Linked DNA regions of Astyanax mexicanus. The protein of the gene in region 3 purifies or fractionates together with the protein of the main gene of each other region. This does not show direct contact. Links are inferred from orthologs where the notes say so. Each region holds a gene or a part of one and is shown on either strand. Other genes may lie near its edges. The genes, in order: aebp2, phf1, eed and phf19.

Region 1 (7,592 bases), on a different chromosome or scaffold from region 3:
TCTGCAAGGTGCCTGCTTACCGATACTATCACACATGCAAGCCAACAAAAGGTCTCATCTATATATGTGGAGCACTTTCTCAGGTGACCAAAAAGGTCAACACTGGGTAATTTGATAATTATATACTATATACTATTTATAGTTTAAAAACATCCACTGATGACAGCAGCACAGTTACATAATTATACCTAAGGCTGGGCAATAATTCTACATATTTATCATAATAGAAAATGATAAAAGGAACTTACCCTTTCTAACCAGCACTATTAATTTGTTTTCAAAAATCAAAAATTAATAAACAATTAGTATTATTGCTAACACCTTCAAAGGCTACTGCTGAGTACAAGGGGATTTTCAGTCAGCTGCGCTGCTTAACAGGAGCTGTTAAATCTGATGTAAAATGAGAAGAATTATGCTATACAGTATGCTATGTTGATATTATGCTGAAACTGAAGCCAATGAAAATGGTCAGAAATACAATTGTACATTAAATGCATTTAAGCCAATTTCAGATACAAATATTTCATTTAGAAATTAGGGCAAAACTTGTTTATTAAATGTCTAAGCAGACCATGACTAAAGACCATGGAAGCATTCTTATGAGGGTACATTTTTAATTGCTTTGTTACTGTCAGCCTAATAAAAAAATTAATTAATTAAAAGCTATGATTATGAGATCATCCCCTTTTTCATATATAGTGCATTGATTAATATAGAGATTGCTTATATGCTCATAAACATATTAGAGAAGCTTTAAGGTTTACAGTTATGTTAAAAAAAGAAACAAGGCAAAAGTCATCTGTCCAAAGCATATTTTTGGACTAGGTGTTCTCTGGCAAACTCTCGTACTGTTGTACAAGGATACCTTCTATCAAGAGCTTTCTCAATTTCTACCTCTACCTCTGGAGGAACGTATACCTTTATCAAATTACAGTCAAACATTTATATATACAAACTTTCATATTGTATGAAATGCAAAACACTATCACAAGGTACTAAAACACAATATTGTCAGTTGAGCTTAAACATTATATGCACTAGGACAAAGGTCTAATGTGGGGCCTAAGAGACAGTATGATGTTAAATGTTTAGGAGCACAGTACTTTCTGAATAGAGCGTTGCATGAGAAGCTTGTGAAGTTAAAGAAGTTTCATGAGTAATGGTTTGTTCATGTATCTTGTGTTCAAAACTTTCCTAAAGGTAAGACATGTGAGAATAATGTATAAAGTCTTATCTTTATAGATATCAAAATGTGTTATTAAAGTATACTGATGTGACAAATGACATATGTTGGATACTATTAGTAAAGTGCACAAACGTAGACAAAAACAATTAAAGAGATCAAGAGCTAAAAACACCTGATGAATTTTTACGTATTTATTCTTGTTTTAATCTAAATTCAGTGGAAGCCAATGGATCAAAAACTGAACTGTGTATTTGCTATATTACAAAGGTTACCGTTCCACTGGGCATTTCTGAACAATACCAGTGTTCATTACGACGGGCCAGTGATGTGACCAAAAGGGGTTTTAACTAGGTCCCATCTGGGTTATACACTACATAGCTAAGGACAATTTAGGGCCATGGGATTAAGGTGAAGTGCAATGATGAATCCAGACCACATTACACCCATGTGAGCAAAAATGAGAATATTCAACAAATCTCATTATAATTATAGATATCCAGACTGTAATTTTTTAGAACATGTACAATTGTAAATCTTAATATGTTTAGATATTCTAAATTAGGCCATGTCCATATACTGTACGATAAATCTAATCAACTAATTATCATAATTATGACAGGCCAACACAGTAATTCACTGTAATATCAGTAACCGTATCATTACTTGTAAAAACTCCAACTGTAGAAGTTTAAAAATGTGTGGAGCTGGACTGTTTACTACACACAGTTACAGTATAGTTATATAGGACTACACGTACCACCCGTGATTTAATTCCATGAGAATAATAGACAGAATTACATTAGGGATATGGAAATATGACGAGTCCGAAGGGATGTATAGATCTGTATATCTGATATTCTAATTCTGAAATTAAAATTAGTGATAAAACTGCATTAGTGAGATCTATCATTTGAGATTTTACTCATATAAATTGAGTTCTGACTGAGTGCTGCTGCTGTGATTTTACGATAAAAGAGTAGAGACGTAATGAAGCCCCTAGGTCTGTTTATAACAGTATAACAGGTCTTATATTATCACTGCAGCACACATAGCTGTACCAGCACGCATTGTTTTTCCACAGTTACGGGCAGTGGGGCTGTAGCTGCAGCTGTAGGTGGAGGCAGTAGGCGGACTCTGCTGTTGTACCTCAGGCACTCTGTTCATGATCCTCGATAATAGAGTTACTAACCTGTCCTCAGAGTCCATCCGGCTCAGGGGTTCTCCATCGGAGGAGGAGGACATCTCCACGCTGGCTCTCCTCTTTATCCCGCTGCCGGTTTTGTCCGGACACTCTTCACCTTTACTGCTGGGGCACTCGGCCGGCGAGGACACGCTCTCCTCCTCTCTTTGTTCTTGCTTTAGCTCCCCCGGCACGGCCGCCGAGTTCTCCCCGCTCTCTGAGCTCTTCTGCTCGGGGCATTTCTTCAGCTCCTCCGCTTCAGCCTCACCGCTCGACGGGCTCTCCGCGGACTCGCTAGCCTCGGCCAGGGCTTCTTCTTTGCCTGTCGCTCCGTCGAGCTCGCAGTTCTCGTCCATTTTAACGCTCTCGCCCTCACCCGGTTCCTGATCGGGAGCGCGCAGCAGGCCCTCGCCGCTCTCCTCGCCGTTCTGATCGCCGGCTTTGGCGGAGTCTTGTTCGTTGGCGTCGGTGGTCGCGGCGGAAGCCATCCTCGACGGTGGGAAGTATCTTGGGGGCGTCTAAGTAAGTTTGAGAAGAGCCGAGCGAGTCAAACCGTGAGCATTTGTTCTCCTCAGCAAAGCTACGAGCACACAGCCCGAGAGAGAGGTTGAGCAGGGACGTGCGGGGCGGGGCCAAGAGATGACGTCGCTCTTACTGACTCCACGTGTTTGGACTACTTCAAACAGAACGGGCCTGTTATGGGAAAACGGGCATGTGTAGTTTTAACCATTAGGTTAACATCCGTTTCAGAAATGAAAAAAATAAATTATCCGATCACTGATTTTACGTATAAAATTGGAATACGAACTAATAAAATACTTGCCGCAGTCCGTGTACATTTTGATAGGTTGATTCTTGAACTAAATAGAAAATAGAAGAAGTGACAAAAGACTCGTTTCATCGTTTTTTGTTTGTTGTAAACACACTAAAACAGAAACTGTAGTTCAGTCCGACTTTCCCCTATGTCTTCAAAACTAACATATGGTTCATTATTTTGATGGCGAATCATGGGCGGGCTTAAAGCGCTCTTCCTACCTCATTGGTCAGTATGAGTGATCACGTGCTCTCAGAAGCGTTGTATAGGTAAAAGTCCCAGTAAAACTCTCGGGCGGCAGGAGTAACATACGTGCAGCAATATATCTGATATTTTCTCCAATTCGGTCGAATTAATGCGTGTTTCACTTGTTACCTGTAACTTATTGTACTGGTATTAATGGTATGACTCTCATCTTACAGCACTTGTATATATATATATTTTGTGTCATCAGCGATAAGACTGGTGTCTGGCTCGTGCAACCAAAAGAACAAACACTCCACACAGAGCTGTAATACTCGTTGTCACGGTGTACACTTTGTGATACTATTGCTCGTCTGTTTAGACCGGATTACTATCAGCGTGCATGTAAACTTAGCTTTTCCTCAGATTGTGGAGTACATATACAGTCCTCAGTCAGAGTCTACAACCTAAATTTATTTGACTGGATTTGGAGAAAATATGAGATATATTGCTTCGCGTGTATTACTTCTCCTGCCCGAGATTTTACTGGGACTTTTTTTCCCGAACAACGAGAGAGCACGTGATCACTCAGGCTGACCAATGGGGTATGAAGAGTGCTTAAAGCCCGCCCATGATTCGCGATCAAAATAATTAACCATATGTTCGTTTTGTAGACATAAAGCAGAAACATAAAGTAGGACTGAATTCCTATTTTTTTTCATGTGTTTAAACCAAAAAACAAAGAAACGAGCCTATATTTTATTTCTGCAATTTAAATTGACTGGCCAAAATGTAAAGCGAGAAGTTAAATCCAGCTGAAAATGACATAAGTGATACAGATCGTTACAGATCTATAGTGTGTTTGTGTCATGAATATCAAACGATTAAAATTAACTAATTAATCGCAGTTTGCTGAAATTAATCTTATAATCTGATTTTGATTTCTCCTTCTTAACACTGAAACTTTTAATAAAGGGAAATATAATAATCAATGTAAGATAATCACAGTCTTGTTTTTAAATACAGATTGTATTTTGTGAACTGTGTTCACGTAGCAGTTGAGCTTGGTGTGATACAGCAAAAAACTACTAAAACAGGCAGGACAGTGTTACTACACAACCAAGCTTTAAACACTGTAGCACACTTCACCAGTGTAGCTGAGACCAGTGGTATTAGCGTTAGTGTGTTTAATTAGAGAAATAGATGGTTGTTTTTTATTTAGTTGTGCCAGTATATCATACTAATCATACTTGCTAACCACCTTGGTCATACTCACAGACCAGCTACGCCAATAACTCAAATAATGTCTGCTTGTGTATCTCTTGACTAGCACAGCACATAATGTAAATTGAGTTTCATGGTCTAGCTTGTCTGTCAGTATAACCAGGATGGTTGACCTGTATGATTAATGCTGTTTATCAGGGTATGTTTCTACCAAGATGTGCAGCGTCCCATGACTATCATTTCCATTTTACAGTGGAAATAATTTAATTCTTAAAGAAGGATAATGTTCCAAAACATCTAAATGTTTTAAAAAGGGACCCTATTCACTATCCTTTTAGGGTGTGGTTAATTTTTTCTAGTTTTATAAAGTGTAGTGCATCTTTTACCCAGTGTGTGTAGGAAGGGGGGTATGTTTTTTTTTTTCTTCAAATGTAACAGAATAAGCTGCCTCGCTAAAGCGTCAGAAACGCTACAAAATTTAAATTGGGCACCCCTGATCATTTTTGTGATTTTCCTTTATAAATTGTTGCTTGTTTGGATTAGAAATTGCAGTTAAATATATCTGTGGTCCTGCCAAATCTTAAAGACTCTATCTTGCAGCGAGTGAGGAAATAGTGGGTTCGCACAAAGTGGAGTTAATAGTGGGAGCGACTGTATACCAAAATGACGCCTGAACTGTAGACCTGACAATAATATTATTGCAACTTGGTTTATGTGGCTGTACTAAGAAAATTAGAAAAAAAGCTAATGAGGTGGGAGCTAGGGAAGCAGATTCATGGTATAACCAGGCAGACACAGAGGCTAGCTTATCTAAATGCAACCAATAAACAGTAAGTTGAAAATTAGCAGCCCAATAGTAAAAAATAATGTTGGCCAGTGCCATACCCCCTAAGAGTTTAGGTTTTTGTAGAGTTGACTTCCGAAGCCTCAGGACCTTCTTATTTTAAACAAATTTGTAAATAGTATTGTCAAGGTTAATAAAATAAGATTTAGTAATTAAAAATTGTGATGCATTGTAAAATATATAGAAATCTAAGGAGTATATTCATTTTCATTACATTGATGCACCCTGCTAATCATAGGGGTAGTAATGTCCAATGTTCAGGTCTTGTTTAGTATGTAAAAAAGTTTGAATAAGTTGTATTTAATCAGTTTGTCAAACTTATTTGTTATAAATACCCCTAGATAGGTAAAAGCATGTTAGAAAATCCTGAAGATCAGCCCAGCCATGATGAGGCAATGAGCTACTGGGAAAAGTTCACTTTACAGCGCCCTCCATAATTATTAGCATACCTAGTTAAAATGTGTTAAAAGCCTTAAAATAAATGTCATTTTTATTGCAAAAGCATAATCTCACGGAAAAAATAAAAAAGCAACCTTTAACTCAAGTGAATAAAAAAAAAACCTGTGACACAATTATTGGCATCCCATAACAATTTTTTGGAATGAAATGTATTTAAACAAATTATGTCATTTCTACTGTAGTTTATAAAGTGAATCAAAGTGTGTAGGAACCTTTAATTGGTAAATAATCACTTTGTGTTTCCCTGGGGTGTAAATACAGTATTACAAAAAGGTCTATTTCTCCTACTCATCTGAAACATGGGAAAGACATGAGAACATAACATTCAAGTGTATAGATGTGTGTTGACCTTCATAAAGCAGTCAATGGCTACAAGAAAATAGCCACTCATCTGCAGATGCCCTGATCCACATTCACTGTAAGAGAATTGAATCAAATGGTAGCATGTAGTGTTAAGAGGTCTTCCAAACAACCATCAGGCGCCTTTTACATGCCAACAAGCTGTTTGGAAGGGAAGCAGCACAGAGAAAGCCTTTTTGAGTTATAATCATAAGCGTAAAACAAGCTGTTGTTTACCAAGCTATAGTGGGATTTTAACTGGTACAGTCTGCTTTGGTCAGATGAAACCAAGATAGCGCTTTCTGGTAACAAACACTCAAAATGGGTCTGGAGTAACACTAAGGTTGATTATGCAGGAAAACACTTTATGTCCACTGTTAAGTATGGGGGAGGACGGGTGATGCTGTGGGCCTGTTCCTCCTCTAAAGGACCTGGGGACCTTGTAAGGATACATGAGATCATAAAGTATCAGGATATTTTGAATCAGAATCTGGTGTCCTCTGCCCAAAAGCTGAAGATGGGTCGTCACTGGGTCTTTCAACAAGATAATGACCCTAAACATGTGGCCAATTCTACTCAAAAATGGTTCACAAGGCACAACATCAAGCTCTTGGCCATCTCAGTCCCCAGACCTCAACAAAATAAGAAAAAACTGAAGAGGAGTTTTCTCTTTTTTTTGCATTGTTGTCCTATATTATTTAAAAATATATTCATTAGAATGCAAAAACTGGAGGTGTTGGCCCAGCTTGTTTAGAGTTTGCCACAGCATGTAGTGGAACCAGCTGCAGTGTACCAGAACAGGCTGCTGTACAAACAGCTGATGTTGTACTAACAGCTAAACCATCCTCCTCCAACTTTATCGCCGTTCCCAAACACTATGATGGCTCTCCTGGTGCATGCAACTTTTTATTGCAATACACGCTAAAAGGTAATCACAACACTGCTTACGTGTAAAGCTAAGGAATGGGCTACTGCCCTATGGTCGGCCAACAGTGACATTTACGCTCTAAAGCTTTGTTTTTTGCTCAGTTTAAAGCTGTGTTTGACCACACCCTGCAGCCGGTAAAGAGCTGGGTTTGCAAATGTGTGAGCTTAAACAAGGCACCTATTCTGCAACAAGTTACACCCTTGACTTCCACACTCTTGCCGCAGATAGTGGAAGGACTGAACCAGCTCTGAAAAAAACGTGTTATAGAGGGGATTGCGGGAGGACGTGCAGACGGAGCATGGTTTTAGAGAACAAGAGATGACCCTGAACGTGGCTATTTCCCAGGGCAACTTTCTGCACGGAAAAACGGAAGCTTACAACGGATTTCAGACCTCTCTTCAGCCACCCAAGCCTCACCCCCCTCAGCGAACCGGA
Region 2 (7,684 bases), on a different chromosome or scaffold from region 3:
GAGACATCACATCACATATCATCACTGCCCAATTAAAAACCAGTATCTCCAAAACAGCAACTTTACAGTAGAGGGATAAAACCTTCTTTACTTTTAAGTCATTTTAGAAACTTTTTATTGGTCCATTCGTCAAGAAATTTTGATACAGTGTAAAAGACAGTTTTTGTTTTCAAAGTAACTGAGATACTTGTTTTTTAATGGACAGTGACAATATTCTTCACTGAAGAAACTTTTCAACACTTTCACATACACGCTGGGACACCCTGTGTGATAAAGTAGTCCTTATTCTTGATTAAGATTAACATTATATTATGAGGCTCTCAAACCTACTTTATTACCTCCTCACACACAAGATCCTAGTGGAATTAAGTCCCATCTGACATCATGTGTACATTCTAGAGGGGGTGTGGCTAAAACATAAAAAAAACTTGTTTTTTAAACATTATTAATACATTTTCTAGCAAATACAGTTAATCTTAATAAGAGAGCATCTATTCTTTAGGGACATCACATTACATATCGTCGCTGTCCAATGAAAAACCAGTATCTCCAAAACAACTTTAGCAACTTTACAGGAGAGAGACAAAACCTTTCTTAACTTTTATTGGAAGTTAATGGAAAAAGAGTTTATTTTATTTTTATTTTTTCATTTTAGAGACTTTTTATTGGTCCATTCATCAAGAAATTTTGATACAGTGTAAAAAAGTTTTTGTGTTCAAATTAAATAATAGCCTTAAAATCAACAACAATGGAGATACTTGTTTTTTATTGGACAGTGATGATATTCTTTACTAAAGAGACTTCCATTAGAAAACTTTCCAACACTCTCACACACATGCTGGGACACCCTGTGTGATAAAATAGTCCTTATTCTTGAGTAATATTAGCATTATATTATTAGGCTCTCAAACCTACTTTATTACCACTTTATTTCACACACAAAATCCTACTGGAATTAAGTCCCATCTGACATCATGTGTACATTCTAGATGGGGTTTGGCTAAAACATAAAAAACTTAAATAGAATGAATAAATGCAGGTTTACCTTTTTTTTTTTTAAACATCATTCATTTTTTTTTTTTAATCAAACACTGTTGATCCTAATGAGAGGGCACCTATTCTATACGAACATCACATCACATATTCTCTATTAAAGAGACTTTCATTAGTAAACTTTCCAACACTCTCACACATGTTAGGACACCCTTTCTGGCACTGCATCCCATTTAATACACTGTCTTGCGGCTTAAGCACCTAACTGGACACTTCACTGTGATTTCTCATTGAGTTTTACCTGTAGGGAAACATCGTAAAGCAACGCATCCCATTTTCTCTGCTGGAATGGGCACCCAAGGGGGTGGCATAGAAACAGAAGACACTGCATAACAGCAGGAAAGCAGAAGTCCACTCATAGTTAGGCACTAATTGAGACATATAAATGTACTATAATCAAATATTCCTCTTCTAAAAGATACATAATCATATAATGAACTGCGAGAAGTGGCACCTCAGCAGCTTTAGTGGGCGCTTGATCACTTTTTCCTTTTGCAAAGTCCAGCCAATAGAGCACTTTTCCTCACTTTTTCAACCATGCCCTGCTTTTTGCACCCTCATTGACTCCACCGGTGGAGTTTAAAGTGCAGGAGAAAGCCCCGAGGGCCTCAGGAGCATGCAGGGCACTCTCCCACCTAAAGGGTTAAACTCACACTCAGTGCATAGCGACAGTGTAAATGTACAGGGCTGTGAATGATGAGAGACTGAGGCTTTAGCTCCGAGGGAGCTGCTTGCTTTCTGTTGTTGTACTGGATCCACAACCGGATCTGTGGGTTTCCTTCCTTACGCAACAGCAAACAGCAGCTCGAATGCACGAATGCACATTAGGAAAGGTGGCGTGATGTTGTGTTTGGGAGGAATAAGGCTGAAGATGAAGAAAAGGAAGAATTATGAGTTATGGAGGTGGTGGGGAGAGAGAGGGTTGAGGGGGCGGGGGGGTGGTTGATGGGGTTGGGGGGGGTTAGAAGTGGGGGGGTGGGATGGATTTGCTGCTGCTGCTGGTGCTGATGCTGCTGATGCTACTCTTGTTGCCGGTTCTAGACACATGATGATGGGGATGGAGAAACAGATTGTAAAGAGGAGAGAAAGGAAGGAGGGAAGGAAGGAAGGAAAGAAAGAAGGATGCTGGCTTTACCTGTGAAGTGGTACTCTTCTCTGCTGGGGTCACAGAGACTGCTGTCGGTGCTTGACATGAAAATATGTCCGACCTCGAGCTGTTTTTGCTTGTCTTTGCTTCTTTTTCTTCTTCTTCTTGTTCCTCTTCTTGTGGATGTGCTTTCAGAGAGTGTGTGTGTGTGTGTGTGTGTGTATGAGTGTGTGTGTGAAGCAGAAAGAGAGAGAGAGAGAGAGTGCTCTCCTCTCTTTTTCTCTCTCTCTTTTTTCTCTTTCTCTCTCTCTCTGTATGTGTGTGTATATATGAGTGTGTTTGTGTATGTGTGTATATCAGTGTGTGTGTGTCAGTCAAGTCGTCAGTGTTGAGTCTGTCCGTCAGTCCGTCTGTCTCGTGCCACGCCGCTCCGTCATGTTCTCATCTCCCTCTCTCCTCCTCTCCTCTTCTCTCTCTCACTCTCTCTGTCCTCCTCCTCTTCTCCTCCTCTGCTCCTCCTCTTCTCCTTCGCCGCTGTTGTTAAAACGTGCCTGTCAGGGAGGCTTGAGCCGACAGAGACGCCATCATCATCACCATCATCACCATCATCATCATCTCTCTCTCTCTTCCTCTCTCTCTGTCTCTCTCTCTCTGTCTCTCTCTCGACTTGTTGTGACGCAGACATAAAACACAGAGCAGTCGAGTGGGAGGGAGAGATAAGGCGGGTTGCTGCTGCTCTGGCTGCTGAGGAGGGGTGTGTGTGTGTGTGTGTGAGTGTGTGTGCGCGCACACCTTCACACACATCTGTAAGCCCACGGTGACCGACAGACAGCCTGTGTTGACGCAACACCTCGTGTGTGTGCGTGTGTGTGTGAGTGTGTGTGAGTGTGAGAGAGAGAGTGTGTGTGTGTGTATGTGTGTGTGTATCACAGGCTACTGGCCGGAGAGAGAAAAGTTTTCAACCGCCCCCCTCCTTCTCTCCTTCTCTCCTTCCCTCCGTCCACTCAACACTTTAAAGGTCCAATCCCATTTCTAATTGGTACCCCTTCCCCTTGTTTTCCAGTGTAACCCTTCCCCTTAAAACATCCCCTCCTTAAAATTGGGACTGCCCACTTTCATAAACCTGCAGTCGAGCCTGCTGGACTGTCTTTAGTTCATTTTCTTAGGGAAATTGTATTACAAGTAGATTTAAGTCTTTAAATAGATCAGGGGTCGGCAATTAAGTGTATATTAATAAGTAAGATATTTTTGTATCCCATAAAAAAATCTGTTTTGGAAAATTAAGTGAGTAATGAGGTGAAGCGCTAAAAACTAGTAGCTCTCCAGCCCAGAGGGTTGTTGAACCCAATTGCAGCAGAACAGTTGATCTCAAAGCAGGTAAACCCAAGAAGAAAGGAAAAAATAAATAAATAAACACACCACTCCTTACGCGGGAACGAACCCGTGTCATCAGGGTCGCAGTCTGAAACAGTACCGCTGCCCCGGCTAGTGAATTGGGACACGGCCGGAGAAAAAACACCCTCATAAGTAGCCCAAGAACAGGCGGGAACTGAGCACGCCAGAGAGAGGTAGGGGAGGGTTGTAAACAAAAGCTAGCCTGAGAAGCATTTTATTTAATTTATTTTTTTCATTAACATTCATTATAGTTCAAACAACCTCACGGGCCAGATATATTTTTTATATTGCGAGCACATCTTGCCCGTAGGCCACCTATTGCCAACCCCTGAAATAAGGGGAAGCACAGTGGCTTTGTTATTTCCTGGGATCTTGGGTTCAAGTCCCTATCTGGGTCTCCAGGGACTCTGGTTTCCTCCCACAGTCCACAAAAACAGGGAGATGAGGTAAATTAAATATCTAAATTGCCCAGAAAATTGGATACTCTAAAAAAATGTACCTGGTGTTTGAATGTATGCCTAGATATGGATCTGGGTCAACTCAGATGCCTGATGCAGTCCTCCAGGTGGATGGTTGTTTCCGGTTGAGAGTAGGCTGTGCGTGATTGGCTGCCGCTTCTCACAGTGTGTGTGGAATGTAATTGTGAAATGTGCTACATAAGTGTAATTGTAAATAAATAAATCCTTTAATGTTTCTGTGCTGTTACATGTTACATACTAGCTACTATGTTAATATGTAAATATGTTTAGTACTGACAGTATTTTGTGCTAATTTCTAAGTTAAACTGTGTCAGTCAATCTGTTTCAATATATCAAGACTAAATATACTGGTTAGCTAGCTAGTTTGTTTCTTAGTGCATTGTTATTTTTTTTTTTCTCCAAAATTTATAAAACACATTTATAATGAATGTGTTAGCTACTTACTAGTTAATATGTTATACATGTAGATTTGTTTAAAAGTGTTTAAGGCTGAAGTATTTGTAGCTATTTAAGTAAACCAGTGCTAACAGCTAACTGTGCTAATTGCTGTTAGCACTGTACTAATCAGAGAGGGGAAACTTTTCAAAGATGCTCAGAATTAAATTATTACATATTACTATGCTACATATAGTCGCTGTCCAATGAAAAACAAGTATCTACATTTTTGTTGATTTTTAGCTAAAAAAATTATTTTAACAGACAAATGGTCTTTTACATTGTGCCAAAATTTCTTGATGAACAGATCAACAGAAATACTTCAAATTGACCTGAAATTAACTCTTTTTACATTAACTTTCATTGAAAGTTTAGAAGTTTTTTTCTGTTGTGTAAAGTTGCTATTTTAAAGGCACTTGTTTTTTATTGGACAGCAATGATATGTAAATGTTTGCTAGTAGTAATTTAGCACAAAAGTGTGAGTTCCTCTCACAGACCCATTAAAAGTGAAAGTAGTAGCTAATAAACTTAGCTAGCAAGCTAACTAGCACAGTCTATATTGGCCAACAGTTACATTTTACCTAGATAATAACACAAATTAGCTATACTCTTGAATACATTAAATACAAATACTCGATATGCCTAAATATAGTTATTTACTTTAATATTATTTAAAGGTAATAATATTAAAATAGATAAAAATGTATTTTAATATTAAAAGCACATTAAGGCTAACTGATACTTTCACTTGACATTGACATGCATGACTAGGCCAGTTGTGATCGTTATATTTTTGACTTACTGTTCCTCAATAATATTTGATAATTGTGATATTGCATATCCTGTTTAATTGTATGTTTTTTTTTACATATAAACTGTAACAGTGAACAGTATTTTAGACTGGCATGCTTCAATAACTGAACAATGCTTCAATAACTGTGACTACAGGTGCGAAAAAAAATATTTTTTCCAAACTATGATTAGATACAGATATGTTGTCTTTAAAAAGGTGTAAATTCTCCTAAAAATGACAATAATATTGTTTATCGCACAAAAAACATTACAGTCCGGAATTTATACTGTACCTGTTTTTCAGTTTTTTCCAAAAACAACATGTCAAGATGCATGAAAACTGAGATTAATAACCAGGGTTATTTCAACAAATATTGATTTCTGAACTCTTAAAACTTTATGAATGAACTTGTTTTATTTGCAGTACTTATGGTCTGAAAGTTCTGCATCTTTTTGGTTATTTCAGCCATTTTTCATTTTCTGCAAATGAATGCACTAAATTACAATATTATTATTTGGAATTTGGAAGGAATGTTGTCTGTAAAGTCAGAGAAATTTACCAGTAGCACAATTTTTTATTAGTATTAGTATTATTAGCCCAATTGAGGGAATTCATCTAACAAGCCAATTAAAACTACTCCTAATTATGGCAGTAAGAAGTAGCCGTGAACATAGCACACTATCTATAAAATACACTTTGCTTATAGTACAGTACAGTGTGTAGTGTATTTAACATATAGTACTATGTTCAGTTTCGTATATAATATATTATAGTATATATATATTATAGTCAGCTGTAGGTTAGTCTTCAAAAACAAGACAAACAAACTCGTTGAAAAATTCAAATTATCCTACTTATGATGGACCCAATGCTAATTTATGTAAATACATGGATCTAGTTAATACTGCCACATTCTCTCTCTCTCTCTCTCTCTCTCTCTCTCTCTCTCTCTCTCTATATATATATATATATATATATATATATATATATATATATATATATATATATATATATTTATATATATAGTCCCAGCTTATACAGGCTGTCAGAGTCATGCGGGCTGCATGGTTTGAGTGGTTGATTGTATTCAGCGATCAAACGCTGCCACCATTTCAAAGCTTTAAGTATGTGGTAAAGCACACACAATTGTTTTGCAGTTCTGCTATTCATGTTGTGTTCAAAATGGCCTCTGGCAGGTCTTTGGAAAGCAGAAGTGTCAGTTCCTTGATAGCACACCAGAGGGCAAGCACAGAACGCCTGCTCAAAAGGAGAGACAGGAAAGAGAGAATTTCACCTTGCATACAGTAACACAGTCAATCCAGCAGCTATTTTCATGCATTGCTTTGATCTGTCAACTGGTAATTTGGTAAACAGTTACTTAGAGATGCTTGTTACTTTCAGTTTAGATTACTTTCCTGTTAGACCAGGAGCGCCCAGATGTTGAGTCATGAAGGGATTAAATGGCGGTATGTGAGTGTGTGTGTGGTGAACTGAAAGCCAAAAAGACAAGAAAATATGTCAGCACTGTCACACATGCACACTAAAAAACAGAGGTATGATATAAGTACTTTCTTGTATTTAAAGGTACACTTTTCTGAATTGTACCCTCAAAGGTATAATACTGGTCAGTTTTTCATATTTTACTATTTATAGGTAAATGTTTGAGTAAAATGAACATTGTTGTTTTATTCTATAAAGTACAGACAACATTTCTCCCAAATCCTAAATAAAAAAAAAATCTTTAGAGTATTTGTATGCAGAAAATGAGAAATGGCTAAAATAACAAAAAAAAAAAAGATGCAGAGCTTTCAGACCTCAAATAATGCAAAGAAAACAAGTTCATGTTCATAAAGTTTTAAGAGTTCAGAAATCAATATGTGGTGGAATAACCCTGGTTTCTAATCACAGTTTTCATGTATCTTGGCATGTTCTCCTCCACCAGTCTTACACACTGCTTTTGGATAACTTTCAAGCAGGTTTGATGGCTTGTGATCATCCATCTTCCTCTTGATTATATTCCAGAGGTTTTCAATTTGGTAAAATCAAAGAAACTCATCATTTTTAAGTGGTGTCTTAGTGGTCTTTACAGACAACATTTCTCCCAAATTCCAAATAAAAATATTGTTATTTAGAGCATTTATTTGCAGAAAATAAGAAATGGCTGAAATAACAAAAAAGATGCAGAGCTTTCAGACCTCAAAGAAAGCAAAGAAAACAAGTTCATACTCATAAAGTTTTACACACTGCTTTTGGATAACTTTATGCTACTCACTCCTGCTACAAAAAAAAGTCAAGCAGTTCAGTTTGGTTTGATGGCTTGTGATCATCCATCTTCCTCTTGATTAGAGGTTTTCAATTTGGTAAAATCAAAGAAACTCATCATTTTAAGTGGTCTCTTATTTTTTCCAGAGCTGTATGTGTAGTTCCCAGTTTCTAAGCTTT
Region 3 (7,287 bases):
TGCTGATCCATGTTTTTGCTCATTTTCATGCGATTTGCACTACTATGCTATCACACTGGATATCTTAAGTTTTACATATAGCACAATGACCAGTCAGGGCTTAAACTGAAGTAGACACTTGGGACAAAACAGTAATTCACTTTCAAGAGGTAATTTTCATTATTTAGGATCTATTTGAGAACATTAAATGCAGAGGAAAATGTAAAAAAAACAAAAAGCGCCTATTATATTTTGAGTTTATAGTGTGTGTATGGATGTTGGTGATGATTAGCTAATCATTCTCTACATTTCCTGGTTTATTAGGGTCTTGTCAAACAAAGTACAAAATTTGAAAACATTATTTTAACAGCATGGGAATTTATACTGCATTATATATAAGGTGTCCACCAGGCGTCACCAAAGGCTTAAAAACCTCTCCAGAGCGCCCCAGTCTGATACAGAGGTGAATCTGTCTCTATAAAACAACATTTTAATATTTTTTTGTTTCTTTGTGATAAAATAAATTAATGTGAGTCCATCTCAGGGTAATATTAATATTTTTTTGATGAAATGACACATAAAATCACATGTTTGCGCGCTGTGTGCGCTGTGTGTTTTAGCGTTTGGAGAGGGGTGTTTTTTTTGTGACTTGGTGACGGTTTGGCATGCCCCTCCCCCAGCCATTCGGAGACCAATCAGGGCAAATTACGTATCAGTGTTTTCGTCTAAGGGTGGACTATTGGTTGAAATAGGTGTCAATCACTTTTGTGACGCTGGAAAAAGCCTATGATCTGATTTGATTGGACAGCCCTGAACACCAGCGCGATCCAGCGCTCACGCCATTGGTTCAAAAGACGATCACTCAAGAAAAGTAGTGGATTGTAGACCAATAAAAACCACTGAATCTAGAAGAGGACACCCTTAGCTTTGTATTCACGTACAACTTTACGGAAAATATTCCATTGTGTAGTCGCTGGGAGCTTGAGAATACGACGTTACGGCTGCGCTGAAACTAAACGCATGTTTTTGAGGAGCCGTGAGCAGGCAAATAAAGGACTTTATGGATATTTTACCTGCGGTTCAGTGCTGTATTGTGGATGCTGTGATAGTAAGTGAATTTTCAATAATATAATATGATGTTATTTTATACACTAATATTATTTTATAAGGCTATTTTGTTGGGGAGGCGTGTTTCTCGTGTAAACAATGTGAAAAAACAGGCTGTTTTCAGTTGGCGATTTCTGGCGACTGGTTTCATGTAGATGGCTGTAAATTTGCATGCAGGTAGTTAAAGTAGTACTAAAGAATATGAGTCGGTTATTTGGTCGGTATGTTTAGAATATTTGACGCTTTTAAGCGTTCTAATTTACATAGTCAGAACGGGCCCGCCGGCGGGCCCGCTAGAGGGCGCTTCTGCAGTAAGAGGTTAAAATGACAAGCAGACGACATTCAAGTGGGCTGATGTGGGTGAAATCTGTGGACTGACCATTGGGGGCGCTATTAATGATATACCTGTTTGTTAAACAAAAAAAAAAACCAAACGAATAAAAAAAAAAATAACAGAATAAAGGAGCTAGCAGTTATCTAACAGCCCGTGGCTCTATCAAAAAATCTTTAATAAATTTTTCTGTTTTGGAAAATTAAGTTTCTAAATAAAGAGCATTTTTGAGACGGACAGTCCGATTTTTTTTTTCATTATAGTTCAACCTCACGGGCCAGATGTTTCTTGCTTGCGGGCCGCATCTGGCCCGCGAGCCGCCTATTGCCGACCTATGACCTATAACATATGAGCTTAGACTGACGTAGAAGCTTAGTAAAGTGTTTGTCAAATGGATTTGATAAGTTGTCTATGAATTGAAAAAAAAAATGTGCTGAAGCTGCAGCACAAAATCTCAGCTGTCTGTGAGTGGTGATGTGGAGCTGGAGTAAGCTCGTTTTTAAAGTAAGTTATAAACTATGATTATTAATTCCTCAATCAAATATTACAACGGATGCTGTTAGTTGGATGTTTAACGTTGCATTTTGGGTGAAATGTGATGTTAAAAACTAGTCGATAAAGTTTTCCCCACCCCCTAGCCTCAACGTTGTTAACCCTTCCCCACCCACCCGTTTTCGGCGACGCGGACCTTTCCTCCCTACCTAGCGGAATTTCAAGAGAAAACACAACGTGGATGGTCACTGACCTGTTTTAATGGAAAGAGGAAGGATTGACAATGACCCCAGACTATATTTCAAACATAACAATAGTTTATTATTAAGTATTTTATTGTTTAAATGCTCAACTGTACGGAATACTGAAGTGTACGTAATACCGTTCTCTTTAACTAATATTTTAGTTAATAGACTTTTTTACAGAAAGTTCATATTAGATTTTTTTTTTGTGTTCATCACAGGCACATAGCATTCTTATGTTTTCATCACTGGATCTTAATTCAGGTCTAAAAGGGCTAAATTAACTAGTGAAACTACCCAAGCTAAGCTAGCCCAGCTATTTTATTACACTGAATTCAGCGAGTTAGCCAGCAGCTAACCTGAACAACAAAACTGGAAGCTAGCTCCGCTAACCTCGCTAAAGTGAGTCTCACAGAAAACAAAGCCTATAGAAACACAGAAAAGGGTTAAAAAAGGACAATTTTACACCAGTCCGCCCCAGGCTCGATAAAATTAAACACATCAGAGGTAAGTTATTTTAACCAGCGAGGGAAACTTGCAGCTCCGGTAAACAGAGCATCAGTAGAGGCGGAGAGAGAGAGCGAGCCGCGGCCCCGGATCCCCGGAGCTCCCGCTAACATATATATAACTAGAACCCGCCGCCGCGGGATCTTCTCTTACGTTCTCGTCTCCGGAAAGGTCCGGGTTGCTGTTCTCGTCGCTGCTTAGTTTCTGCTTTTTTGCCGGCATGTCGTTTCCCGCCTCGGCAGGAGCTTCAGACATCTTCCCCCTCATCTTCTTCTTCCTCTGCTGAAGAAAAACCCGGCGGCCACGCTGCGCTGCCACAAAGCGGCGTGGAGAGGAGCTCCGCTACTGCAGACCGAAGAACGGTGCTCTGTCGAGTTGCGCTACGCGTCGAAACGTGCTTCCTAAAGGCACTGCGCATGCGCTGACCTACAGCTATCAATTATTTCTCGCTTTTTTATATATATAGGAAATATTTTTTGTACATTAAACAACATGGACTCACTGTCATCAAATAAAAATATATAATAATAACAATAAATACAATAATAACTATAAAAAAATATTTTGTAATGACCTCTCACTACTACAAAACTGTGCAATGATACAGTGATTTATGCTCTCCAAAAATTTACATAGACTTGCACTGAGAATATGCTCTAATATGGTGCTTATTTTGCATTTAATAAATATACTACAAGGGTAGCACGGTTTGTGAAGGTAGCATAAAAAATTGTGCGATTTAATTTTACAAAAAAAGAAAAGAAAATGCCCGCTGTAGAAGTCTCGGTGTGATATTTGGATAGCCTAAAAAATAGCCTAAATTTGCTGTACTAGAGTTCGTTAGGGCAATATAGGGTATAAGAAGTCGTTTTATATTTATTTTTTATTATATTTTCAAATTTAATACAAAATAATATATAAAATTCAGTGATCTCAGATTGTAAAACACGTGAAAATAGTCAAAAATAAATAAATAAATGAGAATTCACGCATGCGCAGAGCCGCTAAGTAGCACGCATCGACGGGTAGCGCAACTCGACAGAACACCGGGCGTGTTAGCGCGTCCCGAACAGCAGGGGGAGCCCTGAGACAGATCACCAGCCGAACGCTGCAAGAGGACCTGGCACACTCACCGTACGTGTAGGGCACGTCTCAAATAGTGGATTTATACTCCCTAGGTAGGGCACTAAGCTAGCTATTGTAGGTCGATCACTCACGTCCACACTCGTCCTACACAGGTAGGATTTGAATGCATCCCTCCCTGATTTAAAGCAGGGCTTCTCAACAGGTCTCAACCAGGGACCCACTTTTTCTCACCCACTTTTATAGAATACAAAACAAATTTATTTGAGAAAAATAGCCTTCAAAAACCCATTTAAACATATATGCATGCAAAGTGAATTTAAGAGCATTTTTTAATGAAACATGTTGAGGAGGAACATGACAACAACATGTATAAAAGTTACTACAGTAAAATTAAATATGAAAACTGCACAAAAGCAATCAATCAATCAAGCTTTATTTTGACTCGGAAGTACATTAAAGGCAACCTTACTTTCAGAATAGCAAAGCATTTACAAAAACAGGGAATGACATGGCAAAGAAAATAATATGTACATGTAATCATTTCAAAATAACAGTGAATAAAACTAAAATAGATAAAAATAAAATAAGAATAAAAAACAATACTAAAACTTTGTTTAATTCATAAGAAACTAAGATCAAAAGAAGATAAGATTAATACAACAAAAGAAACAGTTAAAATGAAGTTAGAACTAACTTTTACAAAGTACAATAAAATAATAAAGAAATAAATAAGGCCAAAAAATGAGATGTTTCACTTCTCTGCATATTTCTGCATTCAGAGTACATTAGTAAAAGATTCTCTCTGTCTTTTTTCCACAGTATAAAAGACAAGTACAAAATCAGATGAGCATTATATATTTTTTAATTAAATCTCTAGACTCTAAAACATATCAATTATCTTGAACAAATAAAAATAATACCAATAATAATATTAAGAGAAAATAACTATTCAATATACACACACAATGCTTCCATTTTTGTCTTTTTATTTGTTTGTTAAAAACTCCACCATAGCTTTTTCGAAATGTAGTATTTTTTATGTTATTAATAATTCTAAGACTTTTTATGATATATTCTACCTCAGGTAAAAATATTGTCAATTTGGGTGTATCCTTTAAGAATTTTTCTTTATGAATATAATACTTTGCAGCAGGATTAAAAAAGTAAATTAATTTGTTTGTTTGTTAATTTGTTTAATTATTATAAGACTACAGTACAGATTATAAGAATAGAATATCAACAAGATATACATATTTAATGTAAGTAAAGTTTAACACATATAATACATATATTATGTTAAATCATTAGGGCTGTGAATCTATGGAAATCCCACAATTTGATTCAGAATCGATTCTTGGGGTCACGATTTGATTTTTTTCCTATTCTTTCAAATTGGTTGGATTTATTTTTCTCCATCCTGCATACTTTAACGACACTACACACCCTTCTGTAGCCTAATAGGGAGAGGCAGTACGAGCAAAAACTTTCCCTGTCCTGTTGCTGCTGTTTTGCGACACTCACCTACTGTCCCGTGGAGCTCAGCTACTGTCTCGCGGAGCTTTTTAACAGTTAAAGAGTTCCGCAGGACAGTAGCTGAGCTCTGCAGGACAGTTAAAGAGCCTCTATATACTGTTCTATTTGTGTGACCAAATATTCCACAATGTCTTTTATAGTAAACAGCATAGCTTACTTTATGAGGTGACTGTGGACCAAAATGCATTGTGAGTCTCATTACTAAGCAACAGACAATGGAAAGAACTGGAGATAATTAAGCCAGTGATAACCTAATTACGAGTCACTGGACCATTAATTTCACATATTGTCCCGTGTAGTACCTAGTTCATGAATTGGAGGCTTATATTTCTAAGTAACATAACAGTCAAGATTATTTTAACACGTTCAATACTTTTACTTACTGACTTTAAACACAATTAGTACTTAAACTAGAAACTAAATAGTTCCTCCTAATATTGCGCAGTACTAATTAGTGAGTACAAATCTTTTTTTTCGGTCACAGCCAGAGTTTCGTGACCTACATTGTGGAAGGGAATCAGGAACTCTGTGAGATTAAGCTCCTAACAGATTAATCTTTATCTTTGGATGTGCAACATTAGCAACATTTGTTTAATCAGTTATGTGTGTGCAAATAAATTATTAATGAATTGCTGTTCTTGTGTTTTTAATCATACTTTCACTTCTGCTCAAGTTCATAGTTCAGGAAAGTTCCAGCAAGTAGGCCTAATTTCTTTTTTTTGTGTGTGTGTTCAGTTTCATTCTATCATGTTGGACTACTGCTCTGCTTAAACCACATACTTTAGCGCTTTATGATTTTAGTTTAAACCACATTTATGCAAAAATAAAAAATAAATGTTCTAAAAAACATATTTTTCAAAAATGCACACAATGTTTTTTCATTATTTTACATTGTTCTACATTGTAAATTAATACTAAAGGTATCCAAATTATGAGGGAAAAAAGATATGAAATGATTTATTTAACAAAAAGGGTTAAAAAAGAATGTGTTTTGAATTTTAGATTATTTAAAGTAGGACCTCTTGCTTAGATGACAGTTTTGAACATCTTAGTATTTTCTCAGTCAGCTTTATGAGTTAGTCACCTGGAACAGCCTTCAGTTAACAGCTGTGCTGAACTCGTCAAGAGTTCTTACTTGAATTTATTGCCTCTTAATGTGTTTGAGAGCATCAGTTACAGAGTTACAGGTATACAGTAAATAGCCCTATTTGAGCAATGTTCTAATCCTTATTATGGCAAGAACTACTGAACAAAGTAAAGAAAAAAGTATGATGAAACTAGCACTCATCAGGACCATCCCAAAAAGTAAGACCAAGAGTTACCTCTGTTGTACAGCGTAAGTTAATCAGAGTTACCAGCTTCTGTTAAACTAGTACACAGATAAAATGAACATCCACTTTAAAATGAATTAATATTCAGGTACAAATTGACATTTGATACGTTGTGAATTCTATCATTAGCACAACAACAGCTGAAATCTGAGCTGCTAACCTGGAAGTTGGGCTACACAAATACTACACAAGAAATACCCAGCATTGTGGAAATAACCCAGCAAAACGACCAATGTCCAAAACCCAGCATTTGGATACAGCTCTGCAGTTTGTAGAGCTGCTTTTGTTCAGCTGCCTTTATTATTGTTAGCGGCTATGCTAATCTTCTTTTAAGCAGGCTGCTAATGCTTTTAACTGAGAGATGCTAGCATGTAACAGAAAATACAGGTACAGTTACTAACAAAACAGAGGTAAATTAAACCCCAAACACTTAATGTGAATGTTTAAAGTAAACTGAGTGAAAAAATAGAAGTCACTTTCACAAGTGAAAGTATCATTTTTGAAAAAGTGCTCAATCCATCCAAAATACACCTCTATTTACCTTCTACTGCAGCTTGCACAACTGAACATGGTTACAACACACCTCCAGTTAAACCAGTACACCGGTTGTTTCTTCCTGTGACCATACATGGTATAAGGAAATGTATGGGTCCAGAAAGTTTATTCATGTCTTCAGGCA
Region 4 (7,574 bases), on a different chromosome or scaffold from region 3:
GAGGCCGTCAGACCAACGGCAGAGGACGTACTGCCCGACGGTGAGCTTGCTCTCGAGATCACTGCAAACTGTCTCAAGTTTGGGCAGCAGCCGTTTGGCGTCTAGCTCGTCCGGACCCACAGCCAGGTAGCTGTCCCGGTAGGCTCCCTCCAACATACTTACCTCACACGCCTACAGTCCCTGAGGAGACAGAACCGGCAGAACATTAGACTACAGCTCTGGTCCAGGGGGTCAGCATCATTCACATTTATTCAGATTTAATCAGAATTCTGCTGATACAGCACATTTATCTTCTCTAACACAAATACATCAGCTGTTTTATGTCAGCAGAGATGTTTCTGCAGAAGTTTCTGAGGTGCATATATGAGCTGAAGCATCAGATTTACCTACTCTGCAACTTTTGTTAGCTAACCCATCAGGCCTACATATAAACGGGGTACCAAAAGGAAGTGCTGTTCTCTAAACCACAAATGTAAATTCAGCCACAAACGGTCCACTCTGTCAGTTTTGATTCACTTTGCAAGTAAAGAAAGGGCTGAAAGAAAAAGTACCTGCTCTGTGGAGCTGCAGGGACTGTTGGATGACTCAGAATCCGCCAAGAAATGAGTGAAACCAAAAGCAGCGAAGACGCAGAGTAGTAACGACGTCGGCTAACGTTAACTCTTGGTGGAACAGTGGACAATCACACTAATGTCCTTATGCAGTTATACACTTTACTATAGCATTACTATTACATGTACATTTATGGTATGTAGCTGACACTCTTTTTTAAAGTGGTTTTCCTATTATAGAGTTTGGCCAACGTAGTGTTAGGAGTCTAGCCCAAGGACTAATATATTATTATTATTGGCGTAGCGCAGCATTCAGTCACCCAGACCTGGAATTGAACCCCAATCTCCCACATGGTAGCTCACTGGTGGGCAGTGGTGTTATCCACTGTACCACACCAACCCCAGTTTAATTATTCTTACTATTATTCTTATATATTATATATGTATTATATGACAGTAATCATACAGTAAGCACACCAAACAAAGCACTCCAATAGGAATGCATTGACATTTGTCTGTAAACTTTGTCTCTAAACCAAAACTAATTATATATTATAATAAAATCTGCACAATCAAAGAAATAACAGTATAGCTTTATACTTTATGAACCAATAAAAAAATAAAAATCTACATATATTATTAAATACTAGTAAGCTATTAAGTAGCAGGAAAATGCAGCGTTATACAGGAGTTTCAGTTTAGTTCTCCAGCAGTATTAGCATTAGCGGCTAAACACGCTAAACACTAGCTCTTTTCGAAGTATATCGACCTGTAGCCCTCTGCTAACCCCAGATATTATTCCAACATTTTTCCAAACATTTTGGACACAGGTCTATTAGCCGAATGCATTTGCATTTCAACATTTAGCCTAATTTTCAAACCTTAAGAAATAGCCAAAGATTTGTTAAAACAGCTAAACTGTCTAAATGTTTTAGCATTCCAACATTTAGCCAAATGTTTGGGACTCAAACCGATATGTATTTGCATTTCCCCATTTAACCAAATGTTTCTGGACACAACTCTGTTTGCATTCCAACATTTCTGCAAATGTTTTTGGACTCTAACATTTATCCAAACGTTTTTATTCCCCACTTATACATGCATTCCAACATTTACCCAAACGTTTTACACACAGCTCTATTACCCAACTGTATCTGTATGCATCTACATCATTCAGTCAAACGTTTCTGGACACAGCTCTGCTACTCACATGTATTTACATTCCAACATTTATCCAAACGTTTCTGACCATTGATAATACCACAGAACCACCCTTTGAACCAACTGTTGAACTGCAATCACACTCCCTGCTTGAATCTTTGCACCAGGAGTGTAAAGCATACAGTTATCCAAAATCAGTGTGTAAGACTGGTGGAGGAAAACGTGATGCCAAGATTCATGAAAAAAAACTGTGATTAAAAAACAGGGTTATTTTTTAAAAATAAAATTCTTATCAATATGAACTTCTATGAACATCTTTTTTGTTATTTCAGCCATTTCTCATTTTCTGCAAATAAATGCTCTAAATGATATGATATTTTTGGAATATATTTGGAATTTGGGAGAAATATTGTTTTTAGTTTATAGAATAAAACAACAATGATCGTTTTAGTCAAATATATATCTATAAAAAGCAAAATTAGAGAAACTAATACAGAAATTGAAGATTCTCTTTATTTTTTCCAGAGATGTATTTTTTATGAATAGTGATAAATAGAGGTTAAGGAGTCATCCGGGTCCTGAAAGTGAAAATCCGCTCCGGGATTTCGTTCCAACTGGAACTGGAGCGGCGCTGCCCCGGCAGTTGGAACGAAATCCCGGAGCGGATTTTCACTTTCAGGACCACTGACAAATCTACTAACTTAATAAACTCCAGCTTGCACTTTCTAACTAACTGACATACTAAAAACACACTAAAAAATAAACTTAGCGAGCTAATAAAGCTCAAAAACGCTTAGATAAGTGTGTATTTCCCGTAAAAACGATATTTAGAGCTAAAGCAGCTAAACTGATTTTCCCTCCCTGGTTCAAATCTACCTTTAGCTGTGAATAACTGAATAATAACGCTGGAAAACGCGCTAACACTCATTTTAAACATTAATAAAAGAGAAAACGCGCCTCTAACTACACTAAAGACACAGGTATGGGTTTATCTAAAGTATAAAAGTTAGGATAAACAGCGTTGAATACAGTAGTGAGTTAGTGTAACAGTTACAGTAAGTTATCAGGCTGTAAGTTATTAAACAGTGTGTGTTTAGAGTAAATAAACGAGTTTCTCGCTCTTTTCCTTCATTACCGTGCTGATTTCTCCTCTCCTCAGGAGGGTGGAAGTTGTTCCCGGAGTGTTTAGCCCGCTGTAAGCGCTTCCATTCGCGGAATAAAGTGAGTTTTTCAGTCCTGAGCTGCTCTGCTCCGCTTAAACCGAGCCTCTGCAAGTCGCCATTTTTTCACCTTTTCCCGCGAATCATTTAGGTTTCAAGCTCAGCACCATCAGCAGCAGCAGCAGCCCCTCCCCTTCCACATACTACAGTATATATTTATACACATATATATATATATATATATATATATATATATATATATATATATATATATATATATATATAAATATGCAGCTCTGCGAAAAATCAAGAGAGCACTTCAGTTTCTGAATCAGTTTCTCTGATTTTGCTATTTATAGGTTTCTCCCAAATTCCAAAAAATAAAAATAAAAAAATAAAAAATATATTTTTTATATATTATTCATTATTATTAATTTTGTTCAGAAATCAATACTTAGTGGAATAACCCTGACTTTTTTTTAATGCATCTTGGCATCATGTTCTCCTCCACCAGTCTTACACACTGCTTTTTTTTTGAAGAGCATCATGCTTCCATCTGCTGAGAACTTTTATGGAGATGCGGACTTCATTTTCCAGCAGGACTTGGCACACTGCCCACTCTGTCAAAAGCTTTATAATAAGCTTAATAATAATAAGCAACAATAAAAGATATAATAAACACTTAAAACAGAAAACTCTATGTGTAATACATGAATACAATATTTTAATTTCACATTTGAACAGAATTACTAGCTAATACAAGCTCAAAAATATCCTGCACTTTTAATTTTGGTGTAGGATGTTTGTTGTTAAATAACTTTATTTTCGTTTGCTGTTTTTATACAAAATCAATGTATTGGTAAGTTACTGTCTACAAAATAGACAAACTGTTTTATTTAGCATAAATATCGTCGCTGTCCAATGAAAAACAAGTATTTTCAAAACAGCAACTTTACAAAAGAGAGAAAAATCCTTCAAAACTTTCAATGGAAATCAATGTAAAAAGAGTTTATTTCAGGTCATTTTAAAGTATTGGTATTATTGATTATTATTAATCGACTAATTTGCAAATCATTGTGATGCGTCTGCATACCAAAGTACACGGAAACATCATCCTCACCTATAGCACAGTTAAACCTGAGAGGGCGCTACAGAGGCGAAAATTAACACAATAAAAGTCATTAAAAGTATTTTTAAAGGTTAAGAAATAAAATAAAATAAATTATATATTTTATTACTTTAAAAGAACAGAGTTTAGCTACATATACATACATATAAATATTGTATGTAAGTTCTTTAAAGCCCACAATGTGTAAAATAACGAGTGACTATCTAACTTAACTGAGAAAAAGCAAGATGACGCCTTAACTGAGTTGTGTCAACATGTGTTTTTCATGTTTTTCAGTGTGGAAATAATACATTTTTATTAGACTTTAAATAAAAAGACACAGCTGTTAACTTTTTCAGTGACTTATATCTATGTTATTAACTCATTATAACACATTTTACAGCTTTCAGTGCAGCTCGATCATGTGTTGAGTTTGTAGGGTATCTGCAGAATCCGTCATTACTGAGCAATAAACTCAAATCCTTCCCCTGCTGGGAGACATTTGGGTGACATTACTGAGAATGAGGGCAGAACCAGTCTGCCCTTTCTGCCAGGTCACACTGACCAATCCCATTTAGTCATTTGTGGTCATTTTCTTGTTTACTCAGCAACATCAGGCAATAGGCCAAAGTGGACGTGAAAAATAGCAGGTCTAGTTGTTAAGTCTTCGTGGCCATAAGCTGCAGCGTGTGTCAGGATTCACCTTTTCCTTTCTCTTGAATATTTATCAACTTTCCACATTATTATTCTGCTTTACACACTGTAAAAAAGAAGATTGATGGGTTATATTGTAAATATTACACAAAATAATTGATTTTCTCACTATGAAGTGTAACTTCATGCTGGCTCACAACTGCAGCAAAGTTCACATTACAAGCCACATTGCTCAAAACCAGAGGTGGAAAAGTACTGAATAATTGTAATTAAGTAAAAGTACCTTTACTTTGCTAAAATTGTACTCAAGTAAAAGTAAAAGTACCCATCTAAAAATCTACTTGAGTAAAAGTAAAAAAGTACTCAATTTAAAATTTACTTTGAGTAAAAGTTACATAGTTACTTTTATTTATTTGATGTAAAAAAGTACAAATCATAAATTAAATAATTATTAAATGAAATAATTTGGGCAGTATTTGTTTAGACCATCCCATAAAACATATTCAAGAACAAGTGGCACAGGTTTCTATGATCCATTTTTTTTACTGTTAAAAAGTTAAAAGGTTATGGTCATATAGGTGACTATAAACTGTATTTTTATAGTTGTACAGGTAATTATTATTTTTTAACTTGCCATTCATATGCTTTAACTGCTATTTTACACGTTTTTTTTTAACATCCAAGCAGAATTTTTAATGGTTCTAATAAAAACATAAGGAATTATTATGAAAAACTTTGGTCGGTGCATGCGCAGTGCCGTAAAGAAGCACATATGGATGGGTAGCATAACTCGACAGAACACCGGTTCCCCCGAGTCACGCACACAGACCCCAGCTGATTTACACAGCATCTCTCCCGCTAACCAAAATAAACACTGCATGGAGACGTTTAGCTGCGCTACCATGGAGAACAAAACTCTTTAAAAAATTTTTTTTTAATTCAGACGATTTGTTTTTTTCCCAGCTTTTTATTATTTACTCAGTAATGGGGAATTTTCCAATGTAGCAAAATAAATTACTTGTGTCAAAATGTACTTGAGTAAAAGTAAAATTACCTATTTTCAAAACTATAACAAAAAATTACAAATTACTCATAAAATCTACTCAATTACAGTAATGTGAGTAAATCTAATTAGTTACTTTCCACCTCTGCTCAAAACTGATTTTTTTGCTCAGATTGGATTTATCTATCTTGTTGGTTCACATTTACAAATGTAAGTGATCTGTTTCTGTGTGTAATGTGAACGAAACATTGATACGCAGGGCCGTGCAGAGACCTTTGGAGGGGCAGGTGCTGAAAGTCAAAAGGGGGCACATGGAGCACGAATTTATAACACTATACAGAAACATACCTTTTAATATATGTACAAAGTTAATTTGTGGTCTTTCTGTAGTGTTACTGTAAACTACAAATGAACAGAAGTCACGTTAGAGGAGTGTTTCATATATGAAAGTAACTAAAATCTTATTTTATTTTTTTTTTATTAATAATTATATTTTTTCTATATTCTTAAGGATTTTATTTTTCTTAGCTACTGCAGACAAGGGAGCCTGAGAAACATATGTTTCATATGCAGCATCATAAACAACTCAGAGAGACCTAAAGTATTTCACAAACAAGAACAAGAAAAAGTGGATTTTAGCAGAAGGAGATCTTTAAGTAAAAATAAAACAATACTTAGTACACCTCTCTTTATTACAAAGTATTTTTCAGGCATTTTTCTGGAAACAAGTCCTACTTTTCACCAAATAAAGGGGGTCTTGGGTCTTTGTTTCTCTTTATGGCACATTTTGCATTATTTAATTTAAATTGCATTGAAAAAACTAGGCCAGAGTGAGTCACAGACTAATATGAGGAAAAATTCAACACAGGTATTGTACAACTAACACGTTGAAAGAAGTGTTGAATGGAAAACCAACATATTAGAGAAAACTGTTAATTAAAAGTCCTCTGCTCCACAATTCAATGCTGGAGGCTTTATGTTATAGAGACAATGTGAGTAGGAGTTCTTGGAACGATCCAATCAGTGCCTGTTTACAGATAAAGTCCGCTTTGTGGAGATCTGCGAAAGCGCAGGAGCCAAACCAAGCTGTAATATTATTTTTTTTTTGTGCATTATTGAGTCAAATGCTGCACTGTAAAAAAATATTCATTGGCTCAACTTAACTTAGTCAAGTTATTCATTTAGTCATTTAGCTTTGACTCAGTTAAGTTGTAAATATATACAATTTTAAGTTTATTTAACTTAACTTAAGTTTCATTCACACAACAACAGTTCTGTAAACTCAACTGTTTTTTTCTTCAAGTATTTTGGGCTTAAAAAATGTAGATAAATAAACTATTATACAGCCTAAAACACCGAGGCCTGGCAATCAACACTTACTTTACTGCATTACTAATGCACAACTAGGATAAGGCAGCTTTGAGCAACAGACAACACAAAGATGGTAAGTAAGGAAAAGGCCACACCCAATATGCAAATATATGGAGGAGCCAGGAGCCTATGGGAAGGCTGTATAAAACAACACTGTAAAAAAGAGCATTGAAACGTTTAATATACTAAAAGTTCAAAAGTGGTTCAATAAGCATTTTTAAGTTTTCAGGTTTAAGTTCTCTAAAATCATTTTATTGATTTGTATTAAAATATTATAATATTACTGTAGTTCTCCTGTTTAAAACACAAAATCACATTTTAGAGCGTGCCATTTATTCATCAGATTTTATTTGTTATTGAAAATGTGTTGAAAATGTGTGTCATTTGCTACAATCACTTTTTTTTTGCATGTTTTTGGCATCAAATGTACATTCAGTTTCATAAAAAAATAAATATTAAAGATATAAAAAATATATGTATAAAAAAAACATATATATACCCGTACCTTATTATAGTAAAGGCAATTAACTATTTTAAGACTGCCTCAAAATAGCTGAGCTATTAAA

The links.
Region 1: the proteins of eed (region 3) and aebp2 purify together in Homo sapiens (affinity purification with mass spectrometry; 6 studies listed by BioGRID and IntAct, counting the BioPlex papers as one, with this or other methods). This does not show direct contact. The link is inferred for Astyanax mexicanus from reciprocal best matches to the Homo sapiens genes EED and AEBP2.
Region 2: the proteins of eed (region 3) and phf1 purify together in Homo sapiens (affinity purification with mass spectrometry; 8 studies listed by BioGRID and IntAct, with this or other methods). This does not show direct contact. The link is inferred for Astyanax mexicanus from reciprocal best matches to the Homo sapiens genes EED and PHF1.
Region 4: the proteins of eed (region 3) and phf19 purify together in Homo sapiens (affinity purification with mass spectrometry; 8 studies listed by BioGRID and IntAct, counting the BioPlex papers as one, with this or other methods). This does not show direct contact. The link is inferred for Astyanax mexicanus from reciprocal best matches to the Homo sapiens genes EED and PHF19.

Annotation. Positions count from the first base shown.
Region 1 is NC_064409.1:30,153,692-30,161,283, forward strand, and holds the start of aebp2 (zinc finger protein AEBP2), read right to left. Parts: upstream 3,011-7,592; 5' UTR 2,855-3,010; coding exon 2,376-2,854; intron 1-2,375. UniProt on the Homo sapiens protein: Acts as an accessory subunit for the core Polycomb repressive complex 2 (PRC2), which mediates histone H3K27 (H3K27me3) trimethylation on chromatin leading to transcriptional repression of the affected target gene.
Region 2 is NC_064408.1:114,661,918-114,669,601, reverse strand, and holds the start of phf1 (PHD finger protein 1), read right to left. Parts: upstream 3,008-7,684; 5' UTR 2,189-3,007; intron 1-2,188. UniProt on the Homo sapiens protein: Polycomb group (PcG) that specifically binds histone H3 trimethylated at 'Lys-36' (H3K36me3) and recruits the PRC2 complex. Involved in DNA damage response and is recruited at double-strand breaks (DSBs).
Region 3 is NC_064428.1:19,807,834-19,815,120, forward strand, and holds the start of eed (polycomb protein eed), read right to left. Parts: upstream 3,001-7,287; 5' UTR 2,926-3,000; coding exon 2,812-2,925; intron 1-2,811. UniProt on the Homo sapiens protein: Polycomb group (PcG) protein. Component of the PRC2/EED-EZH2 complex, which methylates 'Lys-9' and 'Lys-27' of histone H3, leading to transcriptional repression of the affected target gene.
Region 4 is NC_064419.1:1,743,931-1,751,504, forward strand, and holds the start of phf19 (PHD finger protein 19), read right to left. Parts: upstream 3,003-7,574; 5' UTR 2,848-3,002; intron 181-2,847; 5' UTR 157-180; coding exon 1-156.